Callithrix jacchus: one gene and its partners. The main gene of each other region encodes a partner of the protein of the gene in region 4 in a complex. Links are inferred from orthologs where the notes say so. Each region holds a gene or a part of one and is shown on either strand. Other genes may lie near its edges. The genes, in order: PKN1, MAP2K3, MAPK14 and MAP3K20.

What was found.
Region 1: MAP3K20 (region 4) and PKN1 share a complex: the UniProt entries of both Homo sapiens proteins name them as parts of the signaling complex. The link is inferred for Callithrix jacchus from reciprocal best matches to the Homo sapiens genes MAP3K20 and PKN1.
Region 2: MAP3K20 (region 4) and MAP2K3 share a complex: the UniProt entries of both Homo sapiens proteins name them as parts of the signaling complex. The link is inferred for Callithrix jacchus from reciprocal best matches to the Homo sapiens genes MAP3K20 and MAP2K3.
Region 3: MAP3K20 (region 4) and MAPK14 share a complex: the UniProt entries of both Homo sapiens proteins name them as parts of the signaling complex. The link is inferred for Callithrix jacchus from reciprocal best matches to the Homo sapiens genes MAP3K20 and MAPK14.

The regions. Positions count from the first base shown.
Region 1 is NC_133523.1:13,248,033-13,252,122, reverse strand, and holds part of PKN1 (serine/threonine-protein kinase N1), read right to left. Parts: intron 890-4,090; coding exon 814-889; intron 728-813; coding exon 598-727; intron 508-597; coding exon 414-507; intron 1-413. UniProt on the Homo sapiens protein: PKC-related serine/threonine-protein kinase involved in various processes such as regulation of the intermediate filaments of the actin cytoskeleton, cell migration, tumor cell invasion and transcription regulation.
Region 2 is NC_133506.1:64,675,872-64,679,730, reverse strand, and holds the end of MAP2K3 (dual specificity mitogen-activated protein kinase kinase 3), read left to right. Parts: intron 1-511; coding exon 512-651; intron 652-1,543; coding exon 1,544-1,589; intron 1,590-2,193; coding exon 2,194-2,277; coding exon of another isoform or gene 2,278-2,312; 3' UTR 2,313-3,250; downstream 3,251-3,859. UniProt on the Homo sapiens protein: Dual specificity kinase. Is activated by cytokines and environmental stress in vivo. Catalyzes the concomitant phosphorylation of a threonine and a tyrosine residue in the MAP kinase p38.
Region 3 is NC_133505.1:44,336,300-44,340,883, reverse strand, and holds the start of MAPK14 (mitogen-activated protein kinase 14), read right to left. Parts: upstream 3,160-4,584; 5' UTR 2,788-3,159; coding exon 2,672-2,787; intron 2,498-2,671; exon of another isoform or gene 2,486-2,497; coding exon of another isoform or gene 2,445-2,485; intron 1-2,444. UniProt on the Homo sapiens protein: Serine/threonine kinase which acts as an essential component of the MAP kinase signal transduction pathway.
Region 4 is NC_133507.1:56,416,662-56,421,268, forward strand, and holds the start of MAP3K20 (mitogen-activated protein kinase kinase kinase 20), read right to left. Parts: upstream 2,973-4,607; 5' UTR 2,932-2,972; intron 2,912-2,931; exon of another isoform or gene 2,745-2,911; intron 1-2,744. UniProt on the Homo sapiens protein: Stress-activated component of a protein kinase signal transduction cascade that promotes programmed cell death in response to various stress, such as ribosomal stress, osmotic shock and ionizing radiation.

The DNA of each region.
Region 1 (4,090 bases), on a different chromosome or scaffold from region 4:
ATTTTTGTATTTTTAGTAGAGATGGGGTTTCACCATATTGGCCAGGCTGGTCTCGAACTCTTGACCCCATAATCCACCCGCCTCAGCCTCCAAAAGTGCTGGGATTACAGGCGTGAGCTACCACACCCGGCCCATATCCAGCTAACTTTTTATAGAAATGGGGTTTCACTGTGTTGTTCAGGCTGGTCTCAAACTCCAGGGCTCCAGTGGTCCTCCCCTGTCTGCCTCCCAAAAGTGCTGGGATTATAGGCATGAGCCACTTTTTAACCAGGATGGAGATCTGGGCACACATTTTTAGCCAGCATAGACATGCTGCGTGACTCCAGGGAAGTTCCTAGAGGTCTCTGAGCCTGGAGCAGGACCCCTGACGCTGCCCAGGCCAGACCTAGGGGGAAAGAAGGGGGGACCCTCACCAGGCTCGATGGGCTAGAAGGAGGATCCTGCGAGCTCTTCTGCGGTGAGCTGTCTGAGTCGGTGCTGAGGTTCAGCTTCTCCACCGATATGTCACTGCAGCAGAAGAGAGAAGGGTGTGTCTGGGACGCAAGACCCTGGAAAGCTTCAAGGGGCAACTGGGTCCCTGGGGCCCTCCTTCCTTACCTGGCGCTCCGGGCCTCGGATCCCGGAGAAGCCCCGGGGCTGAAGGTGGTGTTGGGGATGAGCCTCCGGAGCAGCCGCACCCACGTGGCAACATCGATGTTCATCTGCCTAGCGTGCTGGAACGCCTTCCCTGGGGGGACAGGGGCAGGTGTCACCCCTCGTGACACTCTCAGGATCCCCAGCCTCTCCCCGAGAGGCTCTGGAGCAGCCTCTCACCTTGCTGCTTGGAGAAAATTTTCTTCTGCCGTCGGAGCCGAGGAATCCTCTCAATGACAGGGTTTCGGAAGGTGACCTGGAGGGAGGGACCAAAAGGTGAGGTCGCCCTGCCCCCCTGCAGGCAGACAGCTTGGTGAGGAAGCCCCTAGGAGCATAGGCATGCGCACCTGAGTGGGGTTCTGATTGTGGGGCATCACATTCAATCCAAGTACTAGGTGACAATGAAGAGGTCATCAACCTCTTCATTGTCTCCAACTCCTGGCCTCAAACGATCCGCCCACCTTGGCCTCCCAAAGTGCTGGGATTCCAGGCATGAGCCATGGCACCTGGCCAAAAGTTCTATGGGCTGGTGCTGCAGAAAGTTCTAGGGGATGGTGCTGCTGTGGAGGCGTACAAACAGAACAGAGCGCTACCGGCAGACCTTGAAGGCGAGGAGAAATGCTTTAGAATTTGTCCCCCAGGGCGGGGCATGGTGGCTCATGCCTGTAATCCCAGCACTTTGGGATGCTGAGGTGGGCACATCATGAGGTCAAGAGATCGAGACCATCCTGGCTAACATGGTGAAACCCCGTGTCTACTAAAAATAAAAAAATTAGCTGGGCATGGTGGCGGGCTCCTGTAGTCCTAGCTACTCGGGAGGCTGAGGCAGGAGAATTGCTTAAACTCGGAAGGCAGAGGTTGCAGTGAGCTGAGATAGTGCCACTGCACTCCAGCCTGGTGACAGAGGAAGACTCCATCTCAAAAAATTTTAAAAAAAATTTGTCGCCCAGGCCACCCGCCACCACTTCCCATTTGGTTCTGGACTGTGCTCTGAATGGAAAAACAATTTAAAGCTCTGCCATCTGAGGTCAACCCCCTCCGAGCCCCTTTCTTTCAGTGGTCTGCGATGGTCAGACCAGGGAAGAACCTCTGCTTGGGGATGTGGATATAGAGAGATGGGGAAACAGATAGACAGATACAGAGACAGGGGATGGATGGCTGGGTAGTTACAGCTAGAGAGAGAGGGATTGACAGAGATAGGGACACACAGACATAGCGAGATGGATGGATGGACATGTAGATAAACACAGATATACAGAAAAAAATAGAGAGGGGCACAGATAGATATAGAGAATAGGCCGGGCGCGGTGGCTCAAGCCTGTAATCCAAGCACTTTGGAGGCCAAGGTAGGCGGATCACCTTGAGGTCGGGAGTTCAAGACCAGCCTGACCAACATGGTGAAACCCCGTCTTTATTAAAAAAAAAAAAAAAAAGCAGCAGCAGCAGCAGGTAGATATAGAGAATAGAGACAGAGAGCAGATGGGTAGACATAAGAGAGAGGAATATACAGAGATGGATGGATAGATGGATAAGATGACTGATAGATAATATAGATGGATGGATGCAAAGACAGATTGGTTGATAGATAATACAGATACATGGATGGATGGATGGATGGATGGATAAATGACTGATAGATATTATAGATGGATGATGCAAAGACAGATTGGTTGATTGATAGATAATATAGATGAATGGATGGATGGATAAGATAAACAGATAATATAGATACCTATTATAGATGAATACACAGATAAAACAGATAATATAGGTACATCTATTAATGGACAGATGGATGCATAGACAAGATGGATGGATGAATGCATAGAAAAATAGGATGGATAGATGGATAGGAAGGTTAGTAGGTAGGTAGGTAGATTGTGTATACATACATACATAGATAACCTATGCAATATATGTATGTAAAACAGGGTACACATTTAGGTTAGGGGAATATTAAAAGTGTTTTTTAGGATAAATTGGCTAAATGAGGGGTCAAGTGATTTTCCTCCTCTGTGCCTCAGTTTCCTCCACTGTCACATTTTTTTTTAATTCCTTATTTATTTATTTTTAAGACGGAGTTTTGCTCTTGTTACCCACGCTGGAGTGCAATGGCGTGATCTCGGCTCACCGCAACCTCCGCCTCCTGGGTTCAGGTAATTCTCCTGCCTCAGCCTCCCAAGTAGCTGGGATTACAGGCACGCACCACCATGCCTAGCTAATTTTTTGTATCTTTAGTAGAGACGGGGTTTCACCATGTTGACCAGGATGGTCTCAATCTCTTGACCTCGTGATCCACCCACTTCGGCCTCCCAAAGTGCTGAGATTATAGGCGTGAGCCACTGCGCCCAGCCCACTGTCAAATTTGAGTAATAACAGTCCCTCTTTTGTTGGGTGGCTGTGACAATTAACAAGTTCATGCTGGCAAAGTGCTTGCTACAGAGCCCGGTTTATGCAATGAGAACTCTGCTAGAAATGTTATTCAGATGAGAGTTCCCAACTGAAAACCCTTGACAATGTCTGGAGGTCTCTGGGCTGCCAAAGCTCAGGGGAGGCGGAGTCACCAACATCCTGTAAGCAGTGGCCAGAGGTGCTGCTAACCGTCCTCCAGAGCACGGGACAGCCCTGTCACAGAGGATGACCAGGCCCCAGTGTGAACAGCACCAAAGACAGGACACCTCCGTTCAGACCATCACCCTCCCACAACTGTGGACGGAATTGCTCTCTCTCGACCGTGGCTCTGGTAGCAAACACCACGACACGCTGCCAGGTTTTCTATCTCTTTCCTGGCTGGATGAAATTTTATAATTTATTTACTTCTTTCTTTAAACATTTCTAAATTTGGAAATCAGCTTCTTCTTCCTCTTCTTTTTGTTTTTTGAATATGTTGCTTCGGAACAAAACCAAACCCAGCTAAGGTCATGTCACTGATGTGGCCTTTTTTTATTTTTTTCTTTTTGTGAGAGAGTCTCACTCTGTTGCCCAGGCTGGAGGGCAGTGGCAGGATCACAGCTCACTGCAACCTCCACCTAAGGGGTTCAAGGGATTCTCCTGCCTCAGCCTCCCAAGTAGCTGGGAATACAGGTGCCCAATACCATATCCAGCTAATTTTTGTAGTTTTAGTAGAGGTGGGTTTTCCCCATGTTGGCCAGGATGGTCTTAAACTCCTGGCCTCAAGTGATCCACCTGTCTCGGCCTCCTAAAGTGCTGGGATTACAGGTGTGAGGCACCATGCCCAGCCTAGAACAGGCAGATCTGAAGCCTATCTTCCCTTTCTAGAAGAGCCTGATCTAAAACATATCTTTCCCTCTAGAAGACATCTATTTGAAACATATCTTCCCCTTTCAGAAGAGATAGATATAAAACATACCTTCCCCTTTTAGAAAAGCCTGACCTAAAATGTGTCTTCCCCTTACAGAAAAAGCAGATCTAAAACGCATCTTCCCCTTCTAGAAGA
Region 2 (3,859 bases), on a different chromosome or scaffold from region 4:
TGTCCACGGCCTTGGGGAGAGCCGTGTGTGTGTGTGTGTGTGTGTGTGTGTCACAGCAGCCCAAATAAATGACGGCAGATGCTGAAGTCCAAGATGGCCAGATGTTAGGAAGGGGAGTGGCTGTGACCACTGGGACCTGCCTACCTGGCTCAGGAGGCTGCAGCCTGAGGTTACCAGCTCCTCAGATTTTTCCAGAGCAGCTGCAACCTACATTGTTTTGTAAAATCTTCAGAATTCAGGTTGTTTGAAAACCCAACGATGTTCTCACCAGTCCTGGCATGCGCTGGATCTGCTTTCTGAACTGTATCCTGCTGGCTGGGTCAGGGGAGCTAAGAGCTGCCATCTCTGGCTTTCACCTTTGCTCTGCTGGGATGTGGCAGGGAGATCAGCTGTGCAGCCTTGAGGCCTCGCGCTGGTGCCAGGGTGGGCGAGAGCCCCCAACCCTGGCTCCTGGGTGCAGAGTGTGAGTGTATCTGGGTCCAGGGCCTCTGACCCCCCGTCCCTGCTGCAGATTGAGATGGCCATCCTACGATTCCCTTACGAGTCCTGGGGGACCCCGTTTCAGCAGCTGAAGCAGGTGGTGGAGGAGCCGTCCCCCCAGCTCCCAGCTGACCGTTTCTCCCCCGAGTTTGTGGACTTCACTGCGCAGTGGTGAGTCCGGGGTATGCTGAGCGCCTATTGGTGCCCTCCCTGGCCCGATCCCGGCATCTTCCTGGGCCCTGTGCCTTTTTCCATTAGCAAATAACCCCCCAGATGAAAGGCATCAAAATATGTAAGGCAGAAACAGCTGGAGCGTGAGGAGCTTTGGACAAAACTATGGTCCTAGCAGGAGGTTTTAATGCAGTTCTTCCAGAAGTGACAGATCAGATAGGCTGAAAAAAAGAAAAAAGTATATGGAAGATTTGAACACAGAAAACAAGTTTGCTTTTATTGATATGTAGAACTCTGAACCAAATTAAAGAATGCCCCATGGGAGCCTTATAAAAATCATGTTTGAGATTACAGAGGGAATAAGGAAAAGGGCAAAGTCATACAGACCAACTTCTCTGACCGTAATTAAATGGAGCAAGAACTTGATAAGGAAGAAGCGGCTGGTACCGTGGCTCACACCCAGGGTCCTGGGACTTGTTGTCGACCGTCATCAGCAACAGAGGAGCCCAGCAGAGTCCCTGGGCAGTCTGGCCCCTTTAAGTGGGGACTAACCTCTCCCAGGACCCATGCTAAGGAGTTTTCTCTCCTGACTGAGGATACCAAGCATATGATTGTGAGGCAGAGCACTGGAGAGTCCTGTTTTGATATGGAAATTCCTGGGTCATTAAGGAGACAAGAAAACGAGGACCCCAAGGCCAGAGAAACTTGCTGCAAGCCTCTAGTTTGCCCCTGTGAATGCCCCTCCACCTTGGGAGAAACCCTGGATGGTCTTGTCCCTTCTTCCCTGGGCGCATGTGTCCCCCAGGCCTGGGGCAATCCTGGGGTGGCAATTAGGAGGCTGGGCTTCCTTCCTCCCTGCCAGCCTGGCTATAGCTGCACCGTTCTCTCCTAGCCTGAGGAAGAACCCCGCAGAGCGAATGAGCTACCTGGAGCTGATGGTGAGTGTGGGCAGGAGGTGCCTGCCCTGCTCTTCAGGGCTGGCTGGTGGCTAGGTGGGCTCAGGAGAGGGCTGCGTCCTGCACACAGATGGGCAGCTCCTCTGGCCCCATGTTGACTCCTTTAGGTGCTCATTCATTTGTTTGCTTCTGCAAACCCGGCTTCCTTCTCCCTCCTTCCTTCATACCAGGCTCTGGGAAGGGTGCACAGGCAGTGTGTGACAGAATGGGGCAGAGGGGCCAAGGGGTGGCATCAGGGAAGGCTTCATGGAGGAGGTACCATTTGAACTGAGCCTGGAAGGATGAATAAGGGTTATCTGTTGACGGAGAGGCTGTCCCAAGCAAAAGGTCCAGCATGGGCAGAGGCCAGATGTGTGGGGGAAAGAGAGGTTAGTGTGGCTGGAGAGTGATCACAGGAGAGCTGAGGAGGAGCCACAAACGCCCTCTGTGACAGTCATGGAGGACCTCCTGGGGGTGGAGGTCCTAGAAGGATGAGTAGGATTTTGCCAGGCAGGAGGAACACTTGGGCTGCGGCTGGTTGGGGAAGAATGGGCACCTCCCCCCCCACTACCCCCACCATGGTGAGTGTGCCTTCTGTCACCCCCAGGTGCACCCCTTCTTCACTTTGCACAAAACCAAGAAGACGGACATTGCTGCCTTCGTGAAGGAGATCCTGGGAGAAGACTCATAGGGCCTGGGCCTTGGACCCCACTCCGGCCCTCCTGAGCCCCACAGCCCCATCTGCAGGGGCAGTGCGCACCTGCACCATAAGCTACTGCCATCCTGGCCCAGGGCATCCAGGAGGAACTGAGGGGGTTGCTCCCACTTGGCTCTGCAGCCAGCCATTTGTCCCAAGTGCCAAAAAAGCAGACCACCGGGACCTCCAGCCAGGCCCTTATCGGCCCCGAAGTGCCTCTCTCTCCCTGCTGCTCTGAGGACCGTCTCCAGTTGCTGAGACCCTGGACTGCTGGGGCCTGGACGCCCCTTTGGATGCTGCTGCCCCTTGCACAGCAGGTGCCTTGCCCAGCCTGGATGCCACCCAAGTTGTATATTTTTTTACTCTCCTGACTGAATGGACTTTGCACACTTTGGCCCAGGGTGGCCACACCTCTATCCCAGCTTTGGTGTGGGGTCCACAAGTGGGGATGAGCTATGTGAATCCCCCAAGAATCCCATGGGGGAGAGGCCATGAGCCGCCCAAGGCCTTCCCCTGGCACGGGCGAACAGGGCCTCTTCAGAGCACACTGGGACACCCAGTCCTGCCTGCCACCTTTACTGGTGTCATTTCACCTGTTTATTTTTTTTAATTTATCTTCCATTGTTTTTTTCTTTTGCTTTCTGGGTTTGGCTTGTTTTTCTTGCATGGTTTGGAGCTGATCACTTCTCCCCCATCCCCTAAGGCACCAGCAGGCAGAGCCTCACCCTCTGCTCCAGCTGGGGTCTAGTGGGAGGGGCCCAAGTCTCTGCTCAGAGAAGTGTAGGGGGAGCCTTCCAGCTCACTCCTTGAGGACCGGCTCCATAGGGGCTATGGATTTGCTTTGGTGGTGTTTTAAAAAAAGAAAATATATTTTTTTGAAAAAAGGACTGCCCATCCTGGGTCCTTTCCTGATGGGTTGGGGCAGGTACCTGGTTGCTGTTTTAATTAAAAAAAGATAAGGACTAAAGGTTGTGTAAGACTATGTGTGACACCTGCGAGCCCCCCTCGTACTCGGGGAAGGTTGTGGTGCCTCGAGGGACCCTTGCCTCTGGGCTAGGGCCAGGGTGGCGTGCTCAGGGGAGGGAGGGCTGCCGACCCACCAGGCCCTCCTACATCTGAGGACACAGAGGCCTCCAGAGGGCTGTGACAAGGTGACATCCTGTGACCATCCAGGCACCAGGCCCTATACTGACGCTGGAAAGAGCAGCGAGCATGCAGGCCCAGTCCCCTGGTGGCAGCCACCCATCCCACTGTCCTGGAGCAGTGATGACAGCCAGGTGCACAGAGTGGTGAGCACCCAGACACTGTGCCTTGACTGGACACAGTGGCCTCATGGAGGTTACATGACCTCCATTTACAGATGGGAAAACAGAACCAGAGAGCTGATTATCACTTGCCCAAAGCCATACAGCTTATAAGACAGAAGAACAGACTAGGGGACAGGTAGTGGGCTCCGGAGAAGGCTCTGAGGGGAGTGGGGACAGCTTAATGAAGGTGCCCATGCAGGGTCCCCTCTGGCCCCATGACACTAGCAGCATGGCCGGGCAGCAGGGAGTTTGTTCACGTAAGCGGGGTG
Region 3 (4,584 bases), on a different chromosome or scaffold from region 4:
TACTCTGAATCTGTGAATAAAATAACATTTACTTGTAAATCTAAATTGTGATATTTCATTCCAACATTAGTTATATTGGTTTATTGTCAATTGTCATATAATTTCAGTTGTATTTTCCTTTACCAATATGCTGTAGGTTACATCTTAAATCCCTTTAGTAGAAATACTACTAAAGAAACAAGCAAATAAAAAAACTCTGCCTCCCTGGAAAGACACACAAGACATTTAACAGTGCTTGTCTTTAAGAGAGTAGCCGGGTGCAGTAGCTCTCGCCTGTAATCCCAGCACTTTGGGAGGCTGAGGCAGGCAGATCACAAGGTCAAGAGATCCAGCCCATCCTGGCCAACATGGTGAAACCCCTGTCTCTACTAAAAATACAAAACTTAGCTGGGCGTGATAGCATGCGCCTGTAGTCCCAGCTACTCAGGAGGCTGAGGCAGGAGAACTGCTTGAACCCGGGAGATGGAGGTCGCAGTGAACCGTAATTGTGCCACTGCACTCCAGCCTGGTGGCAGAGCGAGATTGTCTCAAAAAAAAAAAAAAAAAAAAAAAGAGACAGTAGAGTAACTGGAGAACAAAAAGGAAAGGAGACTTTTCACTGAATACCTTTTTAAAGCTTTCAAATTTTATCCAATGTCAATGCACTACCTATTTTTTAAAACCTGTTCAATAAAAGTACTTTTAAGTGTCAGATACTGCTGACTTCTATACCACAGAAAAATATACCACTAAAGAAATGTGGAGTTAATTTTAATGACACTTCACTGTAAATCTGGATCTCCTGTTCCAGTTCAGAGCGAGTCACCAACAGCAGTGAACTCTTGCAAGCAATTCAATTGGAGTTTCCCAAACCCTCTACAGTTGACTTATTCTGCTGTATCACTCCATTAAAATTTAAATAGCATTGAAAACAAAAACACGACACTACAGAAATGAATGTGTCAATTCAAGAAAGAAAAAAATGGAAAGCTATTAATGAGCCATAAAATATTAAAGGAGCAATGATCCAAATACATCTTTGAAAATTAGCAATTCAAGTAGATATATATACGTATATACTGCATGTAAAATGCTGTAAATCAACTACACACACACACACACTCTCTTTCTCTCTCTCTGAATGTAAAATGTTGCAAATTCCTTTAAAATGTAAACTGACACACTGTAAAAATGAGAGAAAGATGTCAAGCACGGTGCATTCTACAACATAACTTAAGCAGCTTGAACTAGAAAATGCAACATGATCTGTTGCTGGACACAATTGCACAATCTCAATTACCCAGAAGATTCTACCAAACAGGAAATTCATGATGTGACTTCAGGAAACACAGCAATCATATTTAAAGATTAACACATCCAAAAGCCTGGAATTTGTTCCAAAACAAAAAACGATTTTACAGGCCCCTTTTCAAATCTTGCATAAACACGAATTACTAAAACACAGAAAAAGCTAACCGTTAAATCTGATATTTAGTTTCAGATCCATAGCTTTCAAATGATACAAAATCTAAAATACAGGGTATAAAACCTTGGAAGTTAGAGGTCAGTTAGTGAAATATTTCAGGTCTGGAAATCATATGATATCGACTTAATTTAAAACACACTCATAGTGTAAATTAAAGCTAAAAAGTATTTCTTCCCTTCCTTTTCTATGTGGTTCCATATCTTTACGAAAACCATCGTGTACCTCAAGCCATAAATGCAGATAATTCCCTGCAAACTCTCTGAGGGACTTTTAAACCACAGTATTCGCAGGAATTATCACAACAAGAAATTTACAATACCTCCCAGCACTGTTAATAACTTTTTGATCTTGAGGGCACCTCACAGATCTGAATCTTTCTTGCTCCAAAGGAGAAAATTGTTTTGTCGAACAATACTTAAATGAGCAGTGGTATGTGACTAATCAGTGAGGCTGCCAGTTTCTCAAGCTGCAGTGTTCTTGCAAGCATTACCACCGCCGCCCCTCCACGGAAAGGAAATACGCTTTCAACTGAATCGGAAACACACCACTCAAGCTGGCACAGTGCTCACTGAGATAAAGTCGGTATTTTAAGCTCTATGGATCGGTGCTAACTCAAGTGCGAATTCAAAAAGAACGCTTCTCAAGATGGGATTTCGACAGAGGTTTGCAAAAAAAGAAGGAAAAAAAAAGCCCGGAGAGAGCTCCCTTCCTGCTCAGTTTTGTTCAGATGACTGAAGTCTTCGGGTTGGCCTCTGCCCTTCTGCTTCTCCCGGGAGCTCCCCGAGCTTGTCTGCTCAAAGGACAGGCTCCCGCGTTCCAGCGTGGGCGCATCGCGGGAGAGGGTCCTTCTGCTCCAGGTCGGTAGGGAGACCCCCCAAGAAAGCAGCCCTGCCCCCGGCGCCTGCCGCCGAACAGCAACCCTCCGAGATGGGAAGGCGCAGGGTGCTACCCAGAACCGAGCTCCAGCACCACCACCTACCTCTCGCAGCGGACCTGAGTGCTGCACACGGTGGACCACATACCCGCGAGTGCAGGGCGAGGGGTGCAGGAGGTGCAGAACAGGCAGGGCTCGAAGGGCAGCAATGCCCTCCCCCGAGGAAAATTCCTGCCACTTGACGCAACGCTGAGCCGTGGGGCAGGCCTGGCCCTCGGGCGCGAGGGGCCACCCTGACCACAGCAGCCCCAGCGAGGCCCGGCGACACTCACCACACAGAGCCATAGGCGCCGGAGCCCACTGGAGACAGGTTCTGGTAACGCTCGGGCACCTCCCAGATTGTCTTGTTCAGCTCCTGCCGGTAGAACGTGGGCCTCTCCTGAGACATTTTCCAGCGGCAGCCGCCAGGCAAGAAGGTGGCCCTGTGGGGCCCCCGCCTGCACCCGCACCCTCTCCCCGGCCCTTGCTGCCCGCCCAACCGGGCGGGGACCTCGCGCTGGTCGCCCGCGCAGGTGCGGCTGCCGCGACCCCGCAGACTCCCGCGCGCGCGGCTGCTGTCAGCCGCAGCGGCTGGATGCGCCTCTGCGACTGGGGCAAGCCCGGTTAAGAGAAGGGACGCGCTCTGGCGCTCAAGGCTGCGCCCGCCGCGATATCCCTGCACCTTCGCCCCTACTAGGCCGACTCTGGGCTGCGTCGCAGGACTTCTGCTCCAGCTGCGCCCGCTGAGGATCCAGTGGTCCCGGTTCCAGAGCCAGCAAACGGGAGCCTCCCCGTACTCTCGCGAGAACAGCTCCTGGAACTCTCCGCGAACCGAGATTTTACCCAATATGGAACCTCTCCGCGGGCGGGGCTTCGTGAGAGGAGAATATGGGAGAAGCAATTCTCGCGAGAAGAGAGCAACAACTGTAGACCAGAGGCAGAAATTCCCCAGGGACTGTCTCCTTAAGGGCGCGAAGGAGCACTAGGGAAGAAAGAGATAAGCGGGCAGCACACGCCGCGCGCGCCTCACCGTGGCCGGCGGGGCAAATACCTGGCTCTGTGGTGGGAAACGAGAGGGACAAATAGCATGTTGGGGAAGAGCCAAAAGATCTTTAACAGAGAGTAGTTCCCAGCAGCTGAGCACCTGCTCAACAGAACCCCCAAATTCCAAAAAACACTTGCATAAAAAAGAGACAAGTTCCGGCCAGAAGGCTGCTGCATTCCCATCTGTTCAAGGACATGTGGTTACTCTTCAAGATGCTTGATGAAATCTGCCCCCCAAAACAAATGTCAACCTGCATCAAAGCTAGGCTCTCCATTCAAACTCTCCTAGTAGTTCTTAAACTTACACGCAGAAAAATCACTCTAGGAGTTTAAGATGCAAGTTCCCAGGACTCACAGGGAATCTAATTGGGTAGGTCAGAGGACGGCATCAAGAGCATGTATTTTTATAGTACATCTTAGGTGGTTCTGATTCAGGAAAGTCTCTGATATTTCCCTTTGAGAAGCATTTAAAAAAACCATTACACTGAAGACTTGAAACTGACTCCTATCCTGAAGAGCCATCAGTGAAGAGGATTTTAAGCCTTTAACTTAGGCCTCTTGGAGTAAGAAGAATAGGGCATGAGTCTCATCAAATTTAGGCAAGTCAATTGACCTTTCCTGAACCCTTAGTTCAGGAAAACCCTTAGGAATTTCTGCCCTGCATTCCCGATGAACAGAGTCATGTGTAAAAACTGAACAAGATAAATGTAAATGGGCAAGGCATTATAACCTCATGCCTACATCCATTATCAACCTACACCTATGCTAAAGCTTGTTACAATGAGCAGAAGAATCAGATCCTGTCTGATTCTCTTAGTTTCTTGTATTAGAAATAACTGGGTGCAAGCCAGGACATTTCTCATCATTTCCCGTGTCATACCTTGGAGGGCTCAGACTTTGCCTATCTTGTCCCAACATCTAGCACAGTGTCTAGAACATAAAGCATGTCCCATACGTATTTATTGAAAAATTATGAACAATCACCATGATTTCAATTTAGGAGGTGGTACAGGATCCTCAGTCCTCCTCAAGGAAAGCAACATAAAACCAGAAAACAGAGTCATGGGTGATTCATGGAAAGCTGTCTTGGATCCAATGTAGCTTAGCTGGAATTCTCTTATCTATAAAAACATAATGCTTGAGAATGTTCCAAACTAGGGAG
Region 4 (4,607 bases):
CTCATTTGCCTTTTGTTTTCCCTCTTTAACTCCTTTCTTATTACAGTAATTACTGGATTGCTTACCATCCACCCAAAGTTCAATCTGAGGCTTTAATTTCCTATTACAATTGAAGACACTGGGGTTACGGTGTCAGATGTGTGGCTGCTTTGTTCTCACATTCTTCTACTGTGCTGGGATTACTTAACAGCTGTTAGGGTGTAATCGATGCTTCAGCTTTCCATAGGAAGGTCTGATATAAAAGCACCCATGTATCAGTCAAATCAGTCTAAGCTCTAGCATTCACAGCCCTCTTTCCTTACCAGGTACGGTTTTCTGGTCACAGCTGGAACTCTGCTTATTTTTATGTAGTGGGGCAAAGTGAATAGCCACAAAAAAAAAATTGCCTAAATCTTCCTTGCAGTAAGACCAAAAGGTGTCTTAACTGTTCCTATTACATTTAGATAGACAAGATACAGCCTGTCAATTTGTCCTGGATAGAATAAAATGGAAAACAAGTGATCTAAATTCATTTTTATTTCCAACATCTCAGAATACAGACATAGGGCTATCTTATTCCAAGAAGTGCTATATCCCCACAAACACCTTTTTCCAGTCTTTTTAAAAAACAAAACAATAAACATCGATTCTCTCCTCTCTTCTAAATCTACCAATTTCTAAAATAAACTGTCCATTTTGCTCTTTCATTCCACACTAACAGCTTCACCTTACATCTGACTTCTTTTCAAGCAACATCATTGTAATTTCTCCAGTAATTTCTCTGATGATTCGATTTATTCACTTCATGCCCCTCAGACCTCCTATTTGTCATTTAGTAGCCCTAACAAAGTCAGTTTCACTACTCATTCCAGATAGGCGCTGAGCCAATATATTGCCAATAACACTCACTCTTGTGCTAAGTTAAAATACACAGTGCAACTTGCCAAGTTTCCTTATTTGGCAAGAAGGCCCCTTAGTTCCCAAGATCTTTGACCATCCATTTTTAGATCCAAGTCCGCGTGTTTAATATTTGGATATTTTTCTCTCTCTCCCTTTCTTTAGTGTGTCCTTATGTATTCCCTAAAAGAATAAGAAAAACAGATCAATCATCTATTTGCTTTTTTAGACAAGAAAAAAAGTCCTGGCAATTGCATCATGGTCATTTACTCCGCAATTATGATCACTACAATTTTTTATTTAAATAATATTTTGTAGTTAAAAAAACTCCCCAAATAATCTCAAAAAGTTTATAGTAGGAATTGTGAAAGATTAAAATAAATAATGCAGTGGTCCAAAAGACCATTTTTTATCTTAATTCTCTCTTCCCAAACTAAATTCCTATTTACAATCTCCTAAGACTCACTATGGTAGCAGGAATTTAAAACAAAGGCTCTACAAATGGCCAAAACCATAATTAAAAATGCAGCCATCACATTTTTTTTTTAAATTGAAAAACAAGTGAAATTTCACCGTGGAGACAGGCCTACTACAAAGAGGGCATTAAGTAGCCCTGAATCACTTGCTTACTTATCTTTAAACGTGTTTGGAGGTTTGGGTCCAGTAAATCCTAGCTGTTCATGTCAACGAAGTTCAGGGAAGCAAGAAGGCTCCCCTAAAACAGCTTCAGGGTTAAAGTCGGAATACAGTTTTCAACAATCTTAATTCAAAAATCCTCCAAGTCACTCTGTAAGACGATTCTCACCATTATTAATGAGAGCTGCTTACTGTACTATACTTGGAATTGTGTTGCTTTCATTATTACAGAAACTAACAAAAATAAAGTTCCCCATAAACAACGCTTATGGGCGATTTCAAAGCACATCAGAAACATTTTCGGCGATCTAACAGAGATACCCAATTCTTTTTTTTTTTTTTTTTTTTTTTTTTTGAGGCAATCGGAAGTCATCCAGCCAGTCCTGAATTAAAGTTTTCTGAAAGCTGTCATGAGCATGCGAGGCCAGGCGAGGCGGCGGCCTGGGTAAGCACTTCTGGGCCTGGTGCTGGTCTCGGAGACCACAAAACACTGGCTCCCTGAGGGTCACTGAAGAGGACACCCCTGTCTGTGGTGGGAGGAAAGGGGGAAGCCAGAGAGGGCAGGCGATCCACGCTGCCCAAGCCCGGGGCAGGAAGGCGGGGAGCGGTGGCTCTGGATACATTTACGCCTGTTTGTAAAACTGATCTTCAGTGTTCATTGTTCCTGGCCTAATTGTGTGAGGAAAACAGAATGAAGGAAAATGGATGGGACGCAACGCCGCTGCGGCCAAGTTCTTAGGAAAGCAGAAGTTGGTCGTCCCTCCTCGCACGCATGGCGTGTGCTGGGAAGTGGCCGGCACCCTGCCCTGATTTGGGGACCTCGCGCTTTGCCCCCCCCCGACAGCGTTCCAGCCACCCGGTGCTTGGTCGGCTCTGCTGCTCGCGGGGCCCCTGCCCGTGCCGAGAAAGCCCAAGCCACCCCGGCCTGCGCCCCGCGCCTTCGGGCGCCAACTTCTCCGTGGGACTGGCCCGAACTCTCCAGAACCGCACTTGGCGGCGCCGAGGCCGAGGTCCCGCGAGGACTCTCCGGGCGCCGGTAACGCTCGCTCCTGCCGCTGCCGCCGCCGCGCGGACCCTGGGTCCGGGAGGAGCGCCCCGAGCAGCCTCTCGCGGCCGTCTGGGCTCCCGGGCCCCGGCGGCGCCTCGGCCCCGAGACGCGGGGACGACTCGCGAGCGCGACAGGCCTCGCCCCCTCACTTCCCGCCCTCCGCGGCCTCCGGCCTGGCCCCTACCTGGCTCCCGGGCCTGGCGCGAGCAGTAGCCGGGGGCGCCGAGGCCTCGCGCGCTACGAGGGCGGCGGGGGTCGGGACCACAACGGCCCTCGCGGCTCCCACGCTTCCTCCGGAGTCAGGAGTTGAACATTCCGCCTCTCCGCGCGGCGCCAATGAGGAAGACAGTCACGGCAACAGCACCACCTACCTCCAGGCGCGGAACGGCCGGGCAGCCCTCCCGTCACACGCGCGGGCGAGCGGGGCGTGGGGAAGGCTTTCGGGCCTCCCTGGCCTGCGCCCGGGTGGCACCCTCCGCCCCTCGCCCCAGGACCCGCCGAGGCCCCTCAGACACACCTGCCCCGCTGTGGGGGGAGGGCCGTGGGGTGTTTCCCCTCCCCCAGCACCTGAACTCATCTTTTTGACAAGTTAACACACCTGCTACTCCTTCAACTCACTCCTCAACAAACAGGAGCTGGGGACACAAAGAAACAGAGGCTGTTTTGTGCCCTGCAAGAGTTCCTTTAGTTGGGAAAGGGACAAATGTAGAGATTTCTGGGGACATAGGTCTGAAGGCTGCTTCTCTAGAAAGATCAGTAGGTACCTCTGGCATTTTGAGGAGGGGCCGTGGTCTGCTGCTCTCAATTTTAACAGAGCAGAATTCAGATGAAGAGCCAGAGTCCATTACAGGCCTAAGCCCAAGGTGGACATGGGCGTTGGGAAGAAAAGCAATTTCTGACTGGGGAGGATGGTTCTGTGAAGGAAAAATTAGAGGCGCTTGCAAAAGCGGGGGCCACGTTATCCAGGATTTTGAATTTGAATTTTATTACCCATGGACACTGGGGAGCTGTGGAGAATTAGAATCAAAGGAGTGAAATGGGTGTTTGTGTTTTTGTTTAAATAGTCATTTTGAGAGAGTAGTCCACAGTGGTTGTAGGTTGGGTTGCTAGGATGGAAGCAGGGTGAGTGGTAGACGTTGTCACCGCCCGGTTATGGAATCATGAGGAACCAAGTTAGGGGTAGGAAATGGAATTAAAAACAAGAAATGGGCTTGGTGTGGTGCCTGTAATCCGAGCACTTCGGGAGGCCAAGGGGAGAGGATTGCTTGAGACCTGGCTGGGTAACATAGTAAGACCTCATCTCTAAAAAAAATTAGCCCAGTGTGGTGGCACACACCTATAGTCCCAGCTACAAGGGAGGCTCAGGTGGGAGAATCACTGGGGAGGTCGAGGCTGCAGTAGACCACAATCGTGCCACTGCACTCTAGCCTGGATGAGAGAGACCCTGTCTCAAAAAAAGAAATGGAATTGAGAGAAATACTAAGTATTTCTCGAAGACCCCACAGAAATTGGTAAACCACTAGATTTAGAAGAGAAGAGAGATGATGCCAAGATTTCAGACCTGGATGACTGGAAGAATGATGGTGTCATTGACAGAAATAGGAATATGTGGAAGGGAAGCTGGCTTCATGTTGAGTTTGAGGTCATAGGAGTAAAAACAGGTAGAGATGCAGCAACTGAAATATGAAACTGAAATTCAGAAAAGAGGTCAAGAGTGAAATAGAAAATTTGTAAGTCATTCAACAGGTTAAAGATATGAAAGTTGAGTGATGGGTGAATAGAGATTAAAAAACAATTTATTAGTCTGACATTCAGATTAATTTGCCCTTTGATGAGAACTGGAGATTTTAGCATTAAGTTTTATTTTCGTAACTGAGAAATTAGAATTGATGAAAATTGCCATGCAAAAAAATTTGTAATGGACGTCTAATCAAATAATTCCAAATGATTCCATCTAATCCATTCAAGGAAAAACTAAGGCTCTTTAACATAGACCCGAGGCAAAGGATGACTCTAATCAATTTACCTTACCTTCAGAGGCACTTGG